6 linked regions of the Bombyx mori genome follow. The protein of the gene in region 5 purifies or fractionates together with the protein of the main gene of each other region. This does not show direct contact. Links are inferred from orthologs where the notes say so. Each region holds a gene or a part of one and is shown on either strand. Other genes may lie near its edges.

Region 1 (3,500 bases), on a different chromosome or scaffold from region 5:
AAACCGTGCAAATCCTAAGGCCTCCCCCCGGAAGGAATTCACAACGTTGACCCCGTACACGATGATCGGACGACGCATCACGTGCGCGAGGACGAACACATGGATCTAAACGAATACGATTTTTTTTTATTTAACAACTAGCTGACCCGGCAGACTTCGTAGTGCCTCAATCGATAAATAAAAGACCTAGTTTTGTATACAATAAACATAAAACAAACAAAAGGAATCCGTCCGACGGGGGACACATCAAAGGAAAAACAAAATTGTTATTTTTATTTAATTCCGAGCATTTTCATATTCAACTACATTTTAAACGTTCTCTGGACTTCCACAAATAATTCAAGACCAAAATAAGCCAAATCGGTCCAGCCGTTCTCGAGTTTTAGCGAGACTAACGAACAGCAATTGATTTTTGACCCGCCCTCGCTTAACGCTTATATAAACCTTCCTCTTCAATCACTCTATCTATTAAAAAAAAAAACATCAAAATCCGTTGCGTAGTTTTAAAGATTTAAGCATACATAGGGATATAGGGACAGAGAAAGCGACTTTGTTTTATACTATGTAGTGATCTCCATCTAGGGTGTCTCTTGATGTGATGAAATTAAGTGGTAAATTAAACTTCGGCGGCTTTGTATGCAACAGTTCGCAATTTCCAACACTAGTCATCATTAGTGTGTGATTAATCGCTTAGTGAAGGATTTATTTTTATAGGATTTTATGACCTGGTAACTAAGACCTTTAGGTCATGTCTTATTTTAATTTATATTCTTAATTTTATGAAAAATGATAAAATGGAGTGAAATTAAATGAAGATGATTAATTTGAGACATTAATCAACTGGGATGAAATTAAATGTAGTAGTTATCATTTTAATGCGAATTTTGAGAATAGTTTTAGGATGCCAACATACAAGTTCTCATGTGTTTATATACTGGGTGGGTATGTCGAATTTCCGGGGTCAACCCCATATAATGACTGGATTAAACGACTGTTGATGAGCAAGACATCAAATTTTATTGTTACATGCGTCACACAAGGGAGTTCACCTGGTGCAGCGGCGTGCCGGGTCGGGCGGCGGACGCTAATATCCTGCTCCACTCCGCCCTCAGCTGCCCCTCCTCGGGCGCGTAATGTAACAGCGACGCCTGCATTCGCTCCCACGCCTGCCAACGCTCGTAGAAACTGAAAATAGACAATACGATCTTGTGAAGTCGTCGTGGCCTAAAGGATAAGACGTCCGGTGGATTCGTGTTGAGCGATGCACCGGTGTTCGAATCCCGCAGCCGGGTACCGATTTTCCTAATGAAATACGTACTTGACAAATGTTCACGATTGACTTCCACGGCGAAGGAATAACATCGTGTAATAAAAATCAAACCCGCAAAATTATAATTTGCGTAATTACTGGTGGTAGGACGTCTTAAGCCATGTGTTCGATTGTTAAAAAAAAAACACACATATCGACGCTTGAAAGGCAAACGTGACTAAGCGACAATGCGTGAACTTTACAGTAGACTAATTTAAAGTTGAAATACCCGAAAAAAATCTATTTTAACGAATCTAGCTGTATGATAGAAATGATTTGAATAGACCTATAAATATATTTTTTTTGCGCATCGAATATGGTCATTGCCTGTCATTTATGTACGAAGCAGCTATTGTCGCTTAGTTACGTTTGCCTTTCAAGCGTCGATATATAGTTGTAGTAATTAGTCACAAGCAGCTATGAATTGCCATACGTATATGAACGTTATGGTTATACAAATAAAGCTCACCTCCTGTGGGCTTGGTGCAGCGAGTCCGCCAGCGCGGTCCGGAGCGCGTTGTTCCTGTCGAACACCCCGTAGGCGGCCTGGCACACGGCGTCGGGCAGGCAGTCGCCGGCCGAGCGGTTCCAGAGGGCGTACAGCCGGGACCCTGGACGATAACAACACACACACACATAACACGTGGCGCCATCTGTCGTCCGCGGGCGGTACTATACAGGCGTCCCCTGATTTATACCGTCAAAACAGAATAAACTCAAGCATTGATTATTCTCAGAGATGAGAATTCAGCGATTCATTACACTCTATTCACACTACATACTGCTTCTAGCATCGGTAGTATTAGTATGTTGTAATAGCGCAATAATATTATTTATATTCCTACCAAACCATAATTTCCATATCATGTACTGAATGACATTTATTTCGTGAACCAATTCTGCATCTCAATTTAAAGTATGAGGTTCTCAGGTCGAAATTAGAATCTGCATTAATTGTGTCTTTATAGACATTCGAATGAATGAGAATGAATTTATGTGTCCATATTAACACAAAAGTATTACAGTGATGCTCACCAAGGTTAACGGTGAACTCCAAGCTCCAGTTTATGAGTGGAGGATCCGCTTCTAAAGTCTGTTGTGCTTCTCTGTCCAGTAACTCGGAGAATAGCTGCTCTTGTATCGCAGCCGGTAACTCTTCGATATCTGAGAAATTGTAAATATTTTAAGGTGTTTTTTAATTAGTATATAATTGACTTGACTTATAAATGACATCTTTGAGATTTAATATAATGGTTTTTCAATTGTGTAATTTTTGTGGGTATATTTAAATTTACGGTCAACATGAATGTAACATTTTTTTTCGTTTTAATTTCGATTTATTATTATTTATTAATTTAGATTAGATGAATATTAAAAAAAATCTAATATTTAAAAAAAGACATGCCCGCTGAGTTTCTTGCCATTTCTTCTCACGACGGAGGCTACTTTTTGTGAATTGGCGGTAGTTCTTTTTGACGTTCTACAAGTATGTCCTTTCATTTATGTTGAATACAATTTTTTTTATCGTGTTTTTGATTTCGACATCCGAAATTTTCTTATACAAAATACAGGTAGGCGGGCTTACCAGCAGGCAACGAGAAGGTACAGAACTCGTTGATGTATCGACATGGAAAATTTCCTTTTTTCTGCCTTAAGCACCCCGCTATGTGCCGACGTATCGCTGACGCCAGGTCCGGCGCTGGAACAAAGGACACAAGATCAGATACATACTAGAGCTTTGATTAAATTTATTGCGTCAAACGTGCGCATTAAAGGCGGCTCTAGCCCATTATTGCTTTTTGAAAAATGCTGCGGATTCCCTGGACGGTACATCGGACAAACGCATCAATCCTGAAAGAACTAGGCGTCTCTCCACAAAACTCTCCACCACTTTTTTTTATTGCTTAGATGGGAGGACGAGCTCACAGCCCACCTGGTGTTAAATTGTTACCGGAACCCATAGACATCTACAACGTAAATGCCGCCACCCACTTTAAGACATGAGTTGCAAGATCTCAGTTTTTACAGTACAATGGCTGCCCCGCCCTTCAAACCGAAACGCATTACTGCTTCACGGCAGAAATAGGTGTGACGTCATTACACTAGCGCCCTCTAGTAAGCACACAACCACAATGGGCTAGGTACAAATGTGACAGGTTCATTGACAGTGCCAAGACCAGCGCCTCCTAAC
Region 2 (3,500 bases), on a different chromosome or scaffold from region 5:
AAGCTCTTGTAGTGAATTTTAATTTAGGATTATACGTGAAATTAAAATATCAATTCATAGAGGGCGCTACCTTACAATTATTTACTAATGACAAAATTTTACATATACTTAAGACGTTTAGGATAATTGTATTTTAATTTTGGAAGGTTTCACTTCTACCACGTGTGAATTGCACACATGTATTTTTATTTTATTTTTTTATTGCCTTTGTAGGCAGACGAGCGTACGGCCCACCTGATGGTAAGTGGTTACCGTCGCCCATGGACTTCAGCAATGCCAGGCGCAGAGCCAAGCCGCTGCCTACAAATAACATAGCTAATTTGAATTACATATTTTCAGGTGAAAGTATCGAAATGTCGTTACGCCATTTGGAATACCGATATGTCAATAGTGGCTCTGTTGGGCAAGCACACGGTCACACTATGCACCAAGAAGCTGGAGCAGCTGTGCTGCATCACCGAAGGGGCCAGAGTCAAGTCCGGCGCCTTCGACGATTCCACACCGCAGCCCGTGTTCATATACACCACGGCAAATCACATCAAGTACTGCTGTAAGGACGGGTGAGTGTCTTCTGGTCAGTAGAATCGCTAGGATGTGCTGGAAGTAGTGGTACATTCCAGTTTGAAGGAACGATTTATCGCCTGTGCTCATGTTTTAAAATCTCTATGGTCTTCGCTAACCACAATGGCGACTGTCAAAGAAAACGATGCAATGTTTTTTTTCTTTCTTAAGCTATTGCATAGCTTTTATCGCGGGCTTTGAGCGCGGCGACTAAATCAAGAAGTTCCGTAACGAAAATAAAACCTAACACCCTCCACTCCGCCTACCATGTAGCTCGCGTCTAACACATTCACACGTTGCGCTTGTGTAGTGTTTGTAAATAAGCGCGCGGCGTGACGTCGCACTGCATGCGCATCATGAAAAGTCTGCCCATCTCTCTCTCGCGCGTGGTCTAGCTTATGAGTTGAAGGGGAGAGTTAATGTTTTGCTTTTGTTAATGTTTATAAATATAGCGTATTCTTATTTTATTATTATTTTTAATATTAAATTATCATTGTTTAATTATAATGGCATAAGTTGATAAAATATGCTATGCCATAGCTTTACCGCGACAGTCCCCGAGTGCCACACGTGTTTTTTTTTTCTACATATTCTATTAACCTCGAGGGGTTATTCTAGATTCACCGAACTATTAGGTGAGCTCACGCGGCTCAAACCGGAGTACTGCTAACACTGGCTCTACCAAGAGCAGTGCTTCACAGAATCTACCACCGAATCAGAAACGCGACCCACTGAGAAGATCTGACGAGAAACTCAGTGGGCTGTGTCTATGGGTTAATTTACTAGTCGATGGGTTCGACGAGGACGGTGACCGGTGCTTGAGGTACCTAAAAGCACCGTTAATGGATCGGGAGGGTCCGTAATGACGTGAGTTTTTGTTGTTGTTTTTCCCACAGCGATTACGGCATCATCCGCACTCTGGACGTGCCCGTGTACGCGGTGCGCGTGCTGTCGACGGAGACGGGCGCGCGCGTGGTGTGCTTGGACCGAGAATGCAGGCCCAAAGTACTCAACATCGACCCCACGGAATACAGGCTAGTTTTAAAATAACTATATTCAGATTAATTATTAACACATAACGTTCATCATCTGACCTCAAATTAAGATCCCCTCTACCATCATTCATGATAATCGGTTGCTCTTGGCAGAGCAGTCGTGGTCATGTGGAATTCTTGCTTATATGCCTTGATAGATGTTTTTCATAGTTTGCGAATCGAGACCCGGCGCACTCACGCGTTAAGTGGGGTTTCAGTAAGGTCTTCCACCTGATCAGTCCAACGCATGGGGATTCTTCCACGAGATCTCTTCCTTTCCAGTGAGTTTCGCTCAGTCCACATACGGCTATTCCACACCTAACGAGTTCCTTTTCTATCATTATTAGTTTACCCGGTTGCAGCAAGCCACGGACATTCCAGTTACCTATTTTTATGATGTTTTTAAGCATAGATACAGGTTTTCCAGTAGCATTATTTCCATGCAACGCCTGGTCGCTTACATTGACATGGCCGGTAACCCATTTCACACTGTTTGTCCCGGACACAAGACGGCGCCGATTGCCAAGCGGCTACCTCGGCTTACATTTTTTCGTATTCTTCCTATTCATGACTTTCTTGGGAATATAGTGCAGTGGTTTCTCGTGAAAATAAATAAATAAATAAAATAAAATCCCTTCTATAGACCTTTATATTTTATATTAACAATTTTTTTACCATGTATGTATTATACGCGTATACATCATACGTGTATACATCCCACAAACATTTTCCCGATGTAGGCGGAAAACACGTTCATTTATAATATAAAACCACACCCTGTATCGCTCCATTAATTGATAAGGAGGTTTAAGATAAGGATTTAAGTAAGCTGTGAGATGAGATTGATTGAATGAGAATTTTAGATTATAACAAAATAAACTGGTCATTTGAACTGGTCCAATGATCGGTGTTCTTTAGAATTCAGGCTTTATCTCATACGTGTGTGTACTCTGAAAATAAAAAGATTAAAGTCTTAGCTTTGTACTATTGGATGTGGACTTTTGGCTCGGTAGATAGATTTAAGTGATCAAGTTAAAAAATCACCCTGTATATGTTCAATAGAGAGAGAATACACTTTATTTCACACCAAAACACAATTTACATTAAAGAAAACAGTCAAAAAGCAGATACATTTGTATAATAGGCGGTCTTATCGCTAAAAGCGATCTCTTCCAGACTACCGTTTAATTTACAGAAATTCTGCAAAATATAAAAATATAGCAGGTATGTTGCGATGTACCATAGACAATACATTATTATAGAAAATATTTACATATAGATAAACAGATATATACCAATATACATACTTACATACAATACATTATATAGGTTATGAACAAAATAATTTTTTTGGTTTTAGATTCAAATTAGCTCTAGTGACGCGCCAATACGATCAGGTGTTGCACATGGTGCGGACGGCTAAACTTGTCGGGCAGAGCATCATCGCCTACTTGCAGGAGAAGGGTGCGTTGTGGTTTATGATTTTTTTTTTATTGCGTACTGGGTGACTTGAGATTTGAGTTCTAAGCTCTCAGTATAATGGAGCAGCCCCACACTTTAAACCAAAACGCATTACTGCTTCACGGCAGAAAATAGGCAGGATGGTGGTACCTACCCGTGCGGACTCACAAGAGGTCCTACCACCAATAATTATAATTTTGCGGGTTTGATTTTTATTACACGATGTTATTCCTTCACCGTGGAAGTCAATCGTGAACATTCGTTGAGTACGTATTTCATTAGAAAAATTGGTATCCATACCGGACGTATCCTTTAGGCCACGGCGACTTTAAAATTGTACCTGGATAACTTATGACAGGCAGGAGATCCTTCCCGGTGGCAGGCCTTATGACAGGCAGGATTATTAGGCTAAACTCGCCTCACGCGGCCCAAATAGTGCCAAGC
Region 3 (4,162 bases), on a different chromosome or scaffold from region 5:
AAAAATCTTTGTACGGATTAAAACAAGCTCCATTTACATGGAACAAAACTTTTACCCAAGCGATGTTTGATTTGGGATTCAAGACAATCAAAACAGATCGATGCGTTTTCATAAACGAAGATAAATCAATAATAATCGGACTATTCGTTGATGATGGACTTGTCATAGGAAAAGATAAGAAAAAGATCGAAGCTATTTTGAAGAAACTTGAAACCAAATTTCAAATGAAAAAGAATGAAAATCCAAGTACTTATCTGGGTATGGAAATAAAAAACTCAAAAGAAGGAATCATTCTTACTCAGAGATCCTACATAAATGACGTACTGGAAAAATACAACATGAAAAATGCCAAACCTTGTGACACGCCCGCAAGTAGCGATTCAAAGTCGATACAGGAAACTGCCCAGGAGAAGGAATATCCCTATAGGGAAGCAGTGGGAAGTTTACTGTACCTGTCTACCAGAACCAGACCAGATATCGCACAAGCGGTCAATCTAGTTAGCAGGAAGGTCGAAAACCCCACTAGAGAAGACGTTACAAAATTGAAGAAAATATTCAAATATTTAGTGGGAACCAAACATAAAGGCATTTTATTCAAACGAAACAAACCGATAGAGAGCATCGATGCTTACAGCGACTCGGATTATGCTGGAGACCCATTGACGCGAAGAAGCACTTCTGGTTCCGTGCTAATGATAGCCGATGGACCAATATCATGGGCATCCAAGAGGCAGCCTATAGTAGCGCTATCGTCGACCGAAGCCGAGTACATAGCCGCAGCCGACTGTTGCAAAGAGGCATTGTATCTCAAATCTCTATTACAGGAAATAACCGGTATGGACATAAAAATAAATCTACATGTTGATAACCAAAGTTCGATTCAACTTGTGAAGTCTGGATCCTTCAACAAAAGGTCTAAGCACATAGACGTGCGGTACCATTTTATACATGAACACTTCGTGCATGGATTAATAAATATTAGCTACTGTCCCACAGAAATTCAGTTAGCTGACGTAATGACAAAACCATTGTCAAAAGTAAAATTTGAAAGACACTGTGCAAGATTAATGCATGTATAGAAACGTGTCTCGGCAACATGAGTGAACATCAGGAGAAGGTGTTGGAAGGTCGTGATGCTGTCCACGTATAATTGTCTATGCTGCACTATATTTAAATTTGTATTATGTTCCTTTTTACTTTTGATGTGCGGTGTCATTCTGAATTATATTTTCTCTTATACAAGTCAACACAATGTTTTCAAGTATTTAATTTACGTTTTAATTAATTGCTATAGCCGCTAGTCCACCCTATCATACCCTTCGGTAATATTTCGCTTTATCGCCATTATACCACTGTGCACTCCAAGCATTATTCAAATATGTTTTAGGGAGGCTAACTAAATCATGACTATAATTTTTGAAACTATAAATATCACCACAATTGATAGCCTCGTTTGCAATTCTATCAACTATTTCATTTCCTTTAATTCCGCAATGGCTAGGTATCCATACAAATGATACTGTAAGATTTTGATCCATACATCTCATTAACAATTTTCTGCAGTCTAAGAGAATAGGGTAAATAGGTTGAGATTTAAAAGGAAATTTTGCAAGAGCCTGTAAAGCACTCTTTGAATCGGTTAGTATTAATGTTTTCTTTAGTTTAAATATCAAAATGTATTCTATGGCCTTGTATATTCCAAAACATTCACCAGTGAACACTGATGTTTCAGATGGTAATTTTATCTTTTCAACTATTTTTGATTGAGAATGATAGACTCCTACACCAACACAACCTTGAGGGTGTTTAGAAGCATCTGTATATATATGGTTATAGTCATTCCAATCTTGGTCTATTACGAAATTAAAGTTAGTATTTGGTTGCGGTTGGTACTTAGAAACACCCATGTCAAGATGAATATCCGGCTTTAAAATCAATGCCTTATAGTTTACACAAAATAGAGGGAAAATATGAGAGTGATGAGTTGGAGTTTGAATAGACAAATATTTTCTATAGCTAATTATTAAACATGGTAACTGTTTATGTTTCCAAAATGAAGAGGATTCTATGAGCTCATTTAGAGTTTTAAGTTTGGTAATAATGTGATTATTTTGGATTTGTAGGGATTTGAAAACGAATTTATCAGATAAATATTGACGTCTCAAATGAAGAGGAGGATCAACACATTCTACCTGTAATGCTGTAACAGGACTAGATTTCATGGCTCCAGTGATAATTCGGAGTGCTTTAGACTGTATAGAGTCTAGTTTTTTGAAAGCATTCACATCCCCTGGTTGAAGTAAAAAAGTACCATAATCTAAAACTGATCTTACTATGGCATTATATAAAAGTTTTAAATTGAATGGGTGGGCACCCCACCATACACCGGCAAGAGAACGCAAGATATTCATATTACTCAAACACTTGTTTGTAATGTAATTACAATGTTGAATTCCATTTAATTTTGAATCTAAAATTAAACCTAAAAATTTAACATGACTGTTTACAGAAATTAATTCATTCTCATAGAATATATTAATTGGAGGAAGAGAACGTTTTCTAGAGAATACAACAATAGAACTTTTGGAGGCAGAAAGGGAAAGTCCATTATTATCTAACCAAGATTTAAGAGTTAGAAATGAATTCCTAAGGGATAAGCAAGCCTTATGTATGTCTTTATTGCAAGTGTACATAAGGAGGTCATCAGCATATTGAAGAATTCTTACTTGATTTCCAAGGGTCTCTTCCAAATCACAAGTGTATATATTGTATAAAATTGGACTTAACACAGATCCTTGAGGGAGACCTCTCCATAAAGTTCTAGATTGTTGTGAATCTGAGGAGGTAGAGTTTAAAATGATAGTTCGATTTGACATTATAGTAATAATCAAGTTAACTAGTCTAACAGGAACCCTTATTTTCTGTAATTTGTAAAGGAGTGTAGGAATATGTACATTATCATATGCAGCGGAAATATCCAGAAATCCAGCTACAATAGATTCAGTGTGTGAGAAAGCTACCAAAATATCCACTATAAAGGTAGCAAGATTGTCCATTGTGCTTTTACCCCTTCTAAATCCGTTTTGACTGTCACTGAGTAAACTGTTACTTTCCACAAACCATTCTAATCTAATTTTAATTAAATGTTCTAAAATTTTCAACATTACAGATGAGAGAGCTATGGGTCTGTATGACAATACATCTGATGAAGATTTACCCGGTTTGAGAATGGGTAAAATAATTTGTTTTTTCCATGACTCTGGGATAACACATGTAATGAACATAGAATTTATAAGGTTGAGGTAATATGTGAGACTAGAATCACTCAAATGGGCAAAGAAAGAATAAGGAATCTTATCATCACCTGGAGCAGAGTCCTTAAGATTCGAGATTACCCCCTTCAGTTCATTAAATGAAAAAGGTAAATCAAAATCTGAAACTGGATCTGAACATGAGAAAGGAAGGACAGACGGAATAAGAACTAAACATTCTTCTGGAACATAAGGGGGAGCTAATTTATCAAGAAACTTGTCAGCCAGATCATAAGGTAAGTCTTTGACTGTATTTTCTTTATATGCAGATCTAAATCTTCTTATTTGGTTCCATACTTCAGAAGGTGAGATATTAGGACAAATCGAAGCACAAAATTTTTTAAAACCTTCTCGTTTCTTTTTTAATAAAAGATTCCGAGTACTATTGATACTTTCTGTTAGAATATCAAAATTTTCTGTAATAGTTTCTTCTAAATATAATAATTCGGCTGCTTTTCTCTCCTTTACCGCCTGAGTGCACTCCCGGTCCCACCAAGGAGGAGAAGGAATAAAAATACCAGAAGGGCTTTTAGAAGGGAAAACTTCATCAGCTGTTTCTATAAAAGCAGAAGCTAAAATTTTTGCTTGTGCATCGGAATCTAAGTTATTAATATTTTCACAGTTGGCAAGTTTAATATCCAAACGCGATTGAAACGTTTTCCAATCCTCATCTGTTACTTGAGATAGATTGTACTTTATTGTAGACTTATGTTTAGAATGATCCTTAATTACTATGTTATTGTTTGAAAATGAAATAATAATAGGATAGTGGTCACTTCCATAACTTAGTTTTAATGTTTCCCAGGACAAAGACGGCACCAGAGATGGGGAGGAAATAGATATATCAGGAG
Region 4 (3,500 bases), on a different chromosome or scaffold from region 5:
CAACACGATACACTACAGATTATTAACAAATTAACGAGACACAAAACAAACGACTAACAAATATATGAAAATACAATAATGAGAGAAACGCGCGATCAGTACGAGGCTTTGTGGCGGACTGCCGGCGCAGCAGCCCGGCGTCACCTGCGATAACGCGGCCGCGCGTTGGCTCCTGATTGGCGCGCGCACGCATCACGCAATCAGGAGCCAATCAGGCGCATAACGCATTTCGTGTGACATGCTAGTACGATTTTGGTCCCCATAATTTTCATACCCCGGGCCTATATATGTAAATCGATTCTAAAGGAGTAAACTCCAAAAATTACCTAAAATAATCTTTACATCGCGTGCCTGCGAAAACTATTGATGGTATAATAAAATAATGTACTACTGCTTTGTAGAACACATTATTATTTACCAAAAGTGTCGGGACAGCATATGTCTAACTATTGTAGTTATGTCGCAATAAGTGTTCTTTTATTTAAAAAAATAAAACAACGTCAAATATCGTTGAAATTTTTGTTAAAGACCCGAGCGGAGCCGGAGCGGGCCGCTAGTTTAGTGTAAAGTTCGAAACTCCAATTCTGTACAATAAAAAATAAACTTTTCCTTCCAGGATTCAATACGATAACAATGAAACTGAAAGAGATGTACCAAATGATAACATTGGGAGGCGACGCTGAACTAGAACTTGTTGACTCGCTGGATCCATTCTCCGAAGGGATTATATTCAGGTATTTTGTTTTAAGGATCGTACTATACCCGATCCTGCGGACCGAATGGAAAGCAGTCGACGTCGCCCCAAACACGTCATTTTGGATCCTCCCGATCCACTAACGGTGCTTTTAGGTACCTCAAGCACCGGTCACCGTCCTCGTTGAACCCGTCGCTTGCAACGAAGGGCTCGATAAGTAAACTAACCCACAGACACGGTCTACTGAGTTTCTCGCCGGATCTTCTCAGTGGGTCGCGTTTCCGATCCGGTGGTAGATTCTGCGAAGCACGGCTCTTGCTAGGGTTCGTGTTAGCAACGTCCTCAGGTTTGAGCCCCGTGAGCTCACCTACAAGCTCGGCTAATCTAGAATAACCCCTAGAGGCTACTAGAATAGGAAGGAAAAAAATATATATATTCGTACTGGCCTATGATAATTTATGGAGTATTTTTATATAAAGCCTCTTATGTGTTTAGTAATAAAATTATAATTCCCTTGACTGGTCTTCATCTCGAAGTCTCAATTGCATATATTTTAATGTTTAATTCTTCGTAATGTAAGTTTATTTCTAAAGAGTATTAAGGCAATGGCGCCGATTCGATATATGCGATTAAAATGTCTGAAATGCAAAATTTCGACTAGTGGTAGGTAGCATGTGCTGTGAGTCCGCGCGGGTAGGTACCACCGCCCTGCCTATTCTGCTGTGAAGCAGTAATGCGTTTCGGTTTGAAGGGCGGGGCAGCCGTTGTAACTATACTTGAGACCTTAGTACTCATATCATATATAAGGTAGGTGGCGGAATTTACCGTCTAGTTTTTTTTTTTGCTCCGCTAACCACTTAACACCAGGTAGGCCGTGCGCTCGTCCACTCATCTAAACTATAAAAAGTAAATCTATACATAATGTGTAAAATAACTATATTTGGGCCTGTATTTATCAATGTTATGTAAGTAAATAAGCAGAAGAGTATAAAATGACAGACAAAAATAGCACATAAGATTTGCTTAAAATCAACTTTATTAAAATTAACAATTAATAAGTAGTTAGTTTTGATTAAAAACAATCTTTATATTCATAGGTATTTATTGTAAAATCACAATCAAATAACATTGAATTTAAAATTCTTCTGGGTTAACTAACATAATCTAATCTAAGTAATTAGTTAAAAGTTAAGTAATCAGTTCTTTTACACACATTACGGGCAGCGCATTCGGTTTTGTATAGAATGCCTAGGCAAAGTATAAAATGAAAAATATTACATACTTTACCTTAACGTTTTAGGTATTCTATACATTGCCTAAGTATTGTATAGAATACTGTATTATACAGATTGTCGGTAACACATACAATTTTTCACAATTTTTCCCCGGTCACCGTCCTCGTCGAACCCGTCGCTTGCGACGAAGGGCTCGACGAGCGAACTAGCCCATAGGCACAGCCCACTGAGTTTCTCGCCGGATCTTCTCAGTGGGTCGCGTTTCCGATCCGGTGGTAGATTCTGCGAAGCTCTGCTCTTGCTAGGGGCAGTGTTAGCAACACTCCGGTTTGAGCCCCGTGAGCTCACCTACAAACGTTAGGGTGAAGCTGAAATAGCCTCTCAAGGCTATCAGGATAGGTAGAAAAAAAAAAAAAAATTATTGTCTGTTTGTTCCGGTTAATCTCTGGAACGGCTGGACCAAATTTGACGAGACTTCCACTAATAGGTAGCTCATGATATAAGGAGTAACTTAGGCTACTTTTTCTAGACTTGCTTAGCCCCGCGGCGTCACTCGCGGTACGAAAATAACCGCAGATAACATCGCGGGACTCGGCCAGTAAAAAAAATAATAATCTCACGACACCTAAATAACTCTTGTTTTGTTTACAGCGTGCGTCCGCCGAACAAGTCCTGGAAGAACATATCGAATTTATCGGGCGGCGAGAAGACGTTATCCTCACTGGCCCTGGTTTTCGCTTTACATTACTACAAACCAACGCCTCTGTACGTCATGGACGAGATAGACGCGGCCTTGGACTTCAAAAACGTTTCGATCGTGGCAAACTATATTAAGGTCGGTGACCTTTACATATTAATATATTATAATAATATTACATATTATTAAATACGGGCATTGCTGACGTCCATGAGCGACGGTGACCACTTACCATCAGGTGGGCCGTATGCACGTCTGCCTACAAAAGAAAAAAAATATATATTTTTTTCTTTTGAGGGATTTTATGACCTGGTAACTAAGACATTTAAGTCATGTCTTATTTTAATTTAAATTATTATTTTTTATGAAAAATGATAAATATGGAGTGAAATGAAATGAGATGATATGGGATGAAATATAATCTCAGTAAAATAGTGGTCATCTACTAAGATATTTTCAGTGGACTTTTTAGAAGTTACGTCTAGCGGCTTTGTTTCATTTTCCCACATTTGTGCACTTTCACAGATATTAAACAGTTAATAAACCACCGTTACTACACATTTAATCCTAAAGAAACATTACAATAGACAAAATAAAACAAATCACACAACTTCACTCCTCGCAGATATAGTACAGATACAGTAAGAGCTCTTTATCCACGAGATATGTGTTCCGTAAATATGCCGTGAATATCAAATGGCTATTTAGGTTTTTTTTTTATTATGATCCGATAGACACTGGCGGGTAGCCATCATACAACGCAAGATATTTGACAGATGCCTGAATCTCACTTACGATATTTTCAAGATAAGCTTGCATATATACAAGTTCCGAACAACAATATTCGGACCGTCGGTCTACCGAGCAAATATCA
Region 5 (3,500 bases):
ACACGAACCAGACGGGGCATGATTGTCTTTGTATGCATTAAAAATATCTGGACATTACTTTGACAGATTTTCAAATTTTATCTTAGTCAGAGGTCCAGTGGCAGGTTAATTAATTATAATTTTTTTTAACCCAAATTAATACACCATATAGGTCCTGACATCGCCAGTGGCTGGGCTGACAGAAGGTCATTGCTTACCAATAATTCAACACCAACAAAACCTCGTTCTCGAATATCAGCAAAAACCGAAGCTCTTAAAGCACAAGTGAGTATTTTTTATTTATTAAATACAGTTTATAAGAGGACCTCTCTCAAAGAAGAAAATATAACAATAAACTATTAAACCGGAATAATGTCCGTTTTCTTAGTGTGTGTATGTTTAAATGTCTTTTTTAATAATGTTCGAATAATAATAAACGAAACTTAAAAGATGATTTACCAGACTCGCCAGAGATAGATAGCAGATATCTGTAACTGTGATACCAATAAACTGTGATCGTCAACCGTAACCCACTGGGAGTAGCGGTAGGCAGCGGCTTGGCTCTGCCCCTAGCATTGCTGAAGTCCATGGGCGACGGTAACCACTCACCATCAGGTGGGCCGTATGCTCGTCTGCCTACAAGGGCAATAAAAAAAAAGAGTAAGGCGTATTGGGGGTCTACAAGGGTGGATACCACCATCCGGTCTATTTCGGCCGCGGATCAATAATTATGAGTTCTGGTAAGACCGCCGGTATGCTAAACAATTGATACTTAGACCACACCCTCAAGGTGCGTCTGAGTCCACGTTGTGATGTTTGGGGACTTCGGTAACTATTTAATACATGGAGGTCACGTTCGCGCACCTATACAGATGTGTGTGGTTTGTAGGTATGTGAGCGAGCGCGTGCGCTGTACTCGCGGCACCTCGCGAGCGCAGTGACGCGCCAGCCGCGCCCGCCCGTCGCCCGCCTGCGCGCGCTGCTCGCCAGGATGCAACGCATCGCCACCCAGCCTTCCAGTCAGTCATGCACAATATACATGCACTCTATAAAATATTCATTATATTTACAACAAACTTACGTTTATTTGTGGATTATTTCCCATAGTGACAGGATCCTGATTAAAGGTGTTATGTAATTTTCGTTGAGAGTCATTGTAGCCGCATATATGCTTAAAAGTTTATCATTTATTACATTGACATGAAAATATGTTAATTATATTTGTAAAATTGGTTTATAAAATGTCTGTTTTGTCGAGCAGAAGATTGGCAACGAGAGCTCAACGAATCGCTGGATCAGCTGACCGAGTTGCTGTGTGGAGATGAGCATCTGTCTGCGTATGAGTTACAGTCGTCTGGGTTAGCGCCTGCTCTACTACAGGTCCTCTCCCCACAGGTTAACGGTCAGTCACTTCATAAAAATTAATATATAGGTACAGAACGCTTTTTATAACTTTTTTCGAATTCTTGGGACACTGGCGACCGCATTATCACGAACGAGCACATGACTTCACAATGAATAATTCAGTGACGAAACTTAAGTGTTGTTGGTTTCTAAACCTTTTAGACGTTCAAACTGGAGTGATATGTTTGCTTGTTTCGTGGCAGAAATGAGCAGGACGGTTCTTAATTAAGTAAATTAAAATCAGATAGGTAAGTTATTCTTATTATAAACCTGTCGATTTGATCAATTTATTTGATGATTTCTACGTGTTAAGCTGTAAACTAGTAAGCAGATAGAAGGTTAATAAAACGAGTTTCCAAACGTAGACGGTCCGGGCCACCTGTCGGAGCGCAGCCGCGTTGTGAGCGCGTGGATGTGCCGGGCGTCGGGCGCGGCTGGCGCGGCGCTGGCCGAGCGGCTGGTGGCCGTGCTGGAGTCAGTGGAGCGGCTGCCGGTGCTCGCGCCGCACGACGCGCCGCCCGCCCCCGCCTCTGCCTTGCACCACCTCACTAAGCGCATACGGTATGAGTCTGAACCTATTCTAGTAACCTCGAGGGGTTATTCTAGATTCACCGAACTAGTAGGTGAGCTCGCGGGGCTCAAACCTGACGTTGTTGCTAACACGAACCCTAGCAAGAGCCGTGCTTTGCAGAATCTACCACTGGATCGGAAATGCGACCCACTGGGAAGAACCAGCGAGAATCTCCGTGGGCTGTGCCTTTATGTTAATTTACTCGCCGAGTCCTTCGTTGCAAGCGACAGGTTCGACGAGAACGATGACCGGTGCTTGGGGTACATAGAAGCAACGATAGTGGATCGGAAGGATCCGAAATGACGTGTTTTGGACGACGTCGATTGTTTACCATTCGGTCCGCAGGATCGGGAAGGTTGCATCGCAGTTTAAACGCAGTTTTAACAAGTGAACTATTATTCTGTATCCTATGAAAGTCATAGGGAATTTCGAAGGACCTTTCATATGTGAATTCCAAATTGAAGAAGATTGATCATTTAATTGCCAACGGATGTCTAAGTTGCTTCTTGAAATAATTAGGGTTTGTGGCAACCAACGTAGCTGCTATATTCGAAAACGTTTCTGTTTCCCTCTAAAGTTATTATCATATTCCAATTACTGCATTCAGATGGTGGTGGAGTATGCAAAAAAAGTTGTCGATTTAAAATAGTAATAATTACTTTTTTAATCGAACTGTATTAAACAAAATCTTCCTTGTGTACAGCTTGCGCGTCGAACGTGAAAGTGATGAAATCAGCGAAGACAGCAATGCTAATAATAACAGCGGCCGTAACCTGAAAGTGGAAGCCCTCACTACCGTCCGTCAGCTAGAACGGTTCTTGGCCAAGTCCGTAGCGCGGCAGTGGTACGACATGGAGCGGTCCACCTTCCTCTTCGTGCAAAAAATAAAAACTGAAGCTCCTTTAAGCTTCACCTACGACGTAAGCCTTTAACGATAGCTATTTCATATTCAGAGTTAATCAAAGAGCTAAGATACTGGTGATATCTGGTGATACTATTTTTTCTTGTGAGTCCGCACGGGTTGGTACCACCGCCCTGCCTATTTCTGCCATGAAGCAGTAATGCGTTTCGGCTTGTAGGGCAGGGCAGCCGTAGTAACTATACTGAGACCTTAGAACTTATATCTCAAGGTGGGTAGCGCATTTACGTCATAGATGTCTATGGGCTCCAGTAACCACTTAACACCAGGTGGGCTGTGAGCTCGTCCACCAATGTAAGCAATAAAAAAATTATAAAATTAATATGATTTTTACCTTTAGCACGATTTCGATGAAAACGGCGTTCTGTACTTCATCGGAACCAATGCTGGCACTTGTGAGTGGGTGAACCCTGGCGCTCACGGGCTAGTCTACGTGTGGTCATCAGACGGTAAACAGTTACCGTATGGACGACCCGAAGATGTGCTGTCGAGATCTCCAGAACCACTCAACGTGCACACTAATGACGACAGACGCGCTTTCATTGCATTGGACTTAGGCGTTCATATTGTACCAACCGCATACACCTTACGTCACGCCCGTGGCTACGGGCAATCAGCATTGCGGAA
Region 6 (3,928 bases), on a different chromosome or scaffold from region 5:
TCGATTTCACTCTATATAGAAAAGGGCCGCTCGGATTGTCGATAATCCCGGATCTCACGGATCATTTGGAACCTCTGGGTCTGCGGAAGGACTTCGCTTTTCTCTGTATTTTGTACCGTATGTTCCATGGGGAGTGCTATGAGGAATTCTTTGAGATGATTCCATCATCTCACTTTTACCATCGCACCGCCTGCCATCGGAGAAGAGTTCATCCTCGCTGGGTATCTTATTCTGTTTGAGATATAGAAGCACTATTTCTTGATATCGATGCTATATGATAACAGCTTTATTAAAGACACTATTGACTACATTCTAGCTCACGCTCGTGCAAAAATCAGCCACTGTCATTTACATCGACAAGTCCTAGTAGATCCATCCGCCCTGCTTTCGATTTGTTGGACATTAGTTCTAATGCTATACGATTACGCTATAATGATACTAGTTCATCGGGCGTTTTATTCTTTGGGCTACAACTTATAAAAGGGTGAGATTTAATGTCTGAGTTTGTAGACTTTTTGGAAGTTGTCAAGTCCACGTCCACGGCCGAAGCCACGGCCTATGATTTTTTTTGCGCTTATGAACTTTCACTACATGGTTAAAATACTTCATTTTCTGTACTTACTACAATTTATTTTAGTTCGAATCAGAATCTATTACATTTGAATCTGAGATGTTATCTATCTTCTTCTTCTATATATATAAAAATGAATTGCTGTTCGTTAGTCTCGCTAAAACTCGAGAACGGCTGCACCGATTTGGCTAATTTTGGTCTTGAATTATTTGTGGAAGTCCAATGAAGGTTTAAAAGGATAGATAAATATGAAAATGCTCGGAATTAAATAAAAATAACAATTTTGTTTTTCCTTTGATGTCCCCCCCGCCGCGCGCCGGACGGATTCCTTTTGTTTGTTTTAAATTTATTTTCTTCAAAGGTTTAAGTCTTTTATTTATTGATAGAGGCACTACGAAGTCTTCCGGGTCAGCTAGTATGCAATAAAGAAAAGAAAAAGAATCGGTACACTTATAATTTTTTACCTCTTTACCATATTGTTAATCTAAATCGAATTAAAATCTTTAAAAAAAATGTTGTCGAGAAAAATATAATGTGTCAATGTCATTAATCAATGAATGTCAAAAATATTTTAAAAACACAAATCAATTTTGATTTCATAAAAAAATCAACGGCTTCTCTAACGCTTGATGAATTCGTATGAGTTTAAATTTTTAATGAATTTTCTTGTTCTATAACTGTTGTTTTTATGATCTGAACATGTTTATTAAGTCAATAGTGTTAGATGGCTTCAAGTCTTACGGAAACCGAGTGGAAATTACTGGATTTGATCCAGAATTTAATGCGATCACTGGTCTAAATGGGACTGGAAAATCAAATATCTTAGATTCTATATGTTTCGTACTTGGAATCACAAATTTATCGAATGTATGTTGTAGTTTATTATTGCTAACAAAATAACAACTGTTGCTGATTTATTTCCCGCCAAATACCATTCACTGTTAAGGGTTATGGCGATATAGTAGCAGCGTTTATTCATGATAATATTCAATTACCTATCAAATATGCGACATAAATCCTATGGGCATCAGAATACATGATGACTTGAAAATAAAAACATACACTTTTCAAGTTCTAGTACAACAATAATATCGATTGATGCGAAGTAAACTCGACAATGATGTTTTCTGCTTCTTTCTGGGTACAATTATAAATAATATGAATATTCCAACAATAAAACATAGTTGCTTCTTGGTCAAAATGCTTGTTTAACAAAATTTGTGCCTAAATTATTAATTAATTTATTATAAAAAAATAGGTACGAGCAAGCAGCTTGCAGGAGCTTATTTACAAGCATGGGCAGGCAGGTATCACCAAAGCAACAGTTAGCATTACCTTCGACAACAGAGATAAGAGACAATGTCCGATTGGCTATGAGAATCATGATGAGATTACTGTCACTAGACAGGTAAGACATAGTTATATTGGAATAGTAATTAGTAATCAACAAAACATCTAGAAATTGAATAACCATTTGCTAAGTTTCCAGGTTCATGAAGCTTCCATTAAATTACTTTATTAAAAAGTTCCAAGAATACAATAGTTCCAAGAATATATACATGATTAATAAATCAATATTCAAATGTTTGAGATGACATGATTTAATACATCATTTACAAATCATTCGATCAAGTAGCTTGACTTTTACTATTAGCAAACCAAGCTAAATTTCATAAGCTTTGCTGAACAAAACAAGAAATAACGTATAGCATTCAAAAGTTATATTTCCTCATCCAAATTTGCTTAATCAAACTAATATAAAGAACATGCTATTTAACAATTATTGAAACAATTTGAAAAATAAATTTCAGGTGGTGATGGGTGGTAAGAATAAATACCTTATAAATGGTATCAATGTCCAAAACAAGAGGGTCAGTGACTTATTCTGTTCGGTTCAGCTTAATGTCAATAACCCACACTTCCTCATCATGCAGGGAAGGATTACTAAGGTGCTAAATATGAAACCTCCTGAGGTAAGCCATACATCAGCTTCAGCAGTTAAATTACTTGTATGACCTTAGTAAATAGTGTTACGAACTGAAGTTCTGGATAAAATAATTATTTCTTACTAGCTGACCAGGCAGACTTCGCAGTGCCAAGACCTAAACTTTTGTATAAAATAAACTTAAAACAAACACAAGGAATCCGTCCGACGGGGGATACATCAAAGGAAAAACAAAATTGTTATTCTTATTGAATTCCGAGAATTTTCATATTTATCTACCTTTTAAAGCTTCTCTGGACTTCCACAAATAATTCAAAACCAAAATTAGCCAAATCGGTCCAGCCGTTCTCGAGTTTTAGTGAGACTAACAACCAGCAATTCATTTTTATATATATAGATAATCAAAAACATATATAGATTATGAATCAAAATCATCAAGTCTAATTACAAAATACTTTGATTAGTACTTTGATAAGTATAGTGACTGATTTCACTATTATGATGCATTAGATTGCATTCAAATCTTGTCTTGGATATGACTTCACTTTAAGTCGTATGATTTTTCTCACTCCTCTGAATGAAATTTAATCTTTCTAAAAGCGTGTGCACTGTAATTTCTAGTAAGGTCTTAATTGCTTTGTGATTTTTTTCTTTCTCTGTACTGTGTGGCATTAGTTGTATTGTATGTTTGAGCTATTTGTGATGATTAAAATATAGGTAGAGACATACAGCCTTAGTAATAAATGTGGTGTAATATCCTTATGCTTCCCAATTCGTGCCATCGTAGGACAGAAAATATTTGACAAATTTTGAAATCACACTAATGGCATTTTCAAAAGAAGCTTTGCATGTGTTAAGCCAGTTACAAACAATATTTGGACTTTTGGTGTATGGAACAAAATTATCTGCTTGGTGGAAGATGTTTCTTATATTGTTTTCCCTCAAACACTTACTAGCCACAATATCAGTAAACTTGAGATCTTGTCTTCTGATATGGAAGATTTCCATTTAACCTTGCTCTGTGGCTGCTGCCCAGCCATTGTTGGCCCTAAGATAAAAAAAAAGCTGTGAGCACAAGAGTTTTATATCCACAAGACAATGTTGATGCTACCACTCTCCCTGAGAACTGAAGTTGAGCTGGCAGTACAACATCCCATGAGCTCGTATAGGTATGTATCACCACTCTGCCTATTTTTGCCTTGAAGCAGTAATGTGTTTCGTTTTTCAAGGGTGGGGCAGTAATTGCACACTGAGGCTTGGATGCCTTTTCCCACGGTGGGTGGCGGGGCTCCCGTATCCACTTAAAGTCAGATGGGCTGTGAGCTCAATGACCTATCTAAGTAATAAAAAAAGGCAAAAAACCTGTGCTGTAATTGTGTTTGACATCCTTGTGAATAAATGAAATGTAACTA

Evidence for each region.
Region 1: the proteins of E3 ubiquitin-protein ligase Ufd4 (region 5) and ubiquitin thioesterase trabid purify together in Homo sapiens (affinity purification with mass spectrometry; 5 studies listed by BioGRID and IntAct, with this or other methods). This does not show direct contact. The link is inferred for Bombyx mori from reciprocal best matches to the Homo sapiens genes HECTD1 and ZRANB1.
Region 2: the proteins of E3 ubiquitin-protein ligase Ufd4 (region 5) and COPA purify together in Homo sapiens (affinity purification with mass spectrometry, with the first as the bait; 3 studies listed by BioGRID). This does not show direct contact. The link is inferred for Bombyx mori from reciprocal best matches to the Homo sapiens genes HECTD1 and COPA.
Region 3: the proteins of E3 ubiquitin-protein ligase Ufd4 (region 5) and uncharacterized protein LOC100862770 purify together in Homo sapiens (affinity purification with mass spectrometry; 4 studies listed by BioGRID, with this or other methods). This does not show direct contact. The link is inferred for Bombyx mori from reciprocal best matches to the Homo sapiens genes HECTD1 and ZNF622.
Region 4: the proteins of E3 ubiquitin-protein ligase Ufd4 (region 5) and structural maintenance of chromosomes protein 4 purify together in Homo sapiens (affinity purification with western blotting; 3 studies listed by BioGRID, with this or other methods). This does not show direct contact. The link is inferred for Bombyx mori from reciprocal best matches to the Homo sapiens genes HECTD1 and SMC4.
Region 6: the proteins of E3 ubiquitin-protein ligase Ufd4 (region 5) and structural maintenance of chromosomes protein 2 purify together in Homo sapiens (affinity purification with mass spectrometry; 3 studies listed by BioGRID, with this or other methods). This does not show direct contact. The link is inferred for Bombyx mori from reciprocal best matches to the Homo sapiens genes HECTD1 and SMC2.

The regions. Positions count from the first base shown.
Region 1 is NC_085132.1:7,256,624-7,260,123, forward strand, and holds part of ubiquitin thioesterase trabid, read right to left. Parts: intron 3,009-3,500; coding exon 2,895-3,008; intron 2,474-2,894; coding exon 2,345-2,473; intron 1,921-2,344; coding exon 1,779-1,920; intron 1,186-1,778; coding exon 1,050-1,185; intron 106-1,049; coding exon 1-105. UniProt on the Homo sapiens protein: Ubiquitin thioesterase, which specifically hydrolyzes 'Lys-29'-linked and 'Lys-33'-linked diubiquitin. Also cleaves 'Lys-63'-linked chains, but with 40-fold less efficiency compared to 'Lys-29'-linked ones.
Region 2 is NC_085132.1:3,498,794-3,502,293, reverse strand, and holds part of COPA (coatomer protein complex subunit alpha), read left to right. Parts: intron 1-339; coding exon 340-560; intron 561-1,457; coding exon 1,458-1,595; intron 1,596-2,955; coding exon 2,956-3,059; intron 3,060-3,500. UniProt on the Homo sapiens protein: The coatomer is a cytosolic protein complex that binds to dilysine motifs and reversibly associates with Golgi non-clathrin-coated vesicles, which further mediate biosynthetic protein transport from the ER, via the Golgi up to the trans Golgi network.
Region 3 is NC_085121.1:8,128,278-8,132,439, forward strand, and holds the start of uncharacterized protein LOC100862770, read right to left. Parts: upstream 2,801-4,162; 5' UTR 2,727-2,800; intron 1-2,726. UniProt on the Homo sapiens protein: Pre-60S-associated cytoplasmic factor involved in the cytoplasmic maturation of the 60S subunit.
Region 4 is NC_085134.1:4,033,132-4,036,631, forward strand, and holds part of structural maintenance of chromosomes protein 4, read left to right. Parts: intron 1-616; coding exon 617-734; intron 735-2,580; coding exon 2,581-2,764; intron 2,765-3,500. UniProt on the Homo sapiens protein: Central component of the condensin complex, a complex required for conversion of interphase chromatin into mitotic-like condense chromosomes.
Region 5 is NC_085118.1:10,509,877-10,513,376, reverse strand, and holds part of E3 ubiquitin-protein ligase Ufd4, read left to right. Parts: intron 1-151; coding exon 152-264; intron 265-868; coding exon 869-998; intron 999-1,240; coding exon 1,241-1,381; intron 1,382-1,748; coding exon 1,749-1,944; intron 1,945-2,657; coding exon 2,658-2,874; intron 2,875-3,213; coding exon 3,214-3,500. UniProt on the Homo sapiens protein: E3 ubiquitin-protein ligase which accepts ubiquitin from an E2 ubiquitin-conjugating enzyme in the form of a thioester and then directly transfers the ubiquitin to targeted substrates.
Region 6 is NC_085131.1:14,294,976-14,298,903, reverse strand, and holds the start of structural maintenance of chromosomes protein 2, read left to right. Parts: upstream 1-1,128; 5' UTR 1,129-1,270; coding exon 1,271-1,438; intron 1,439-1,829; coding exon 1,830-1,979; intron 1,980-2,382; coding exon 2,383-2,544; intron 2,545-3,928. UniProt on the Homo sapiens protein: Central component of the condensin complex, a complex required for conversion of interphase chromatin into mitotic-like condense chromosomes.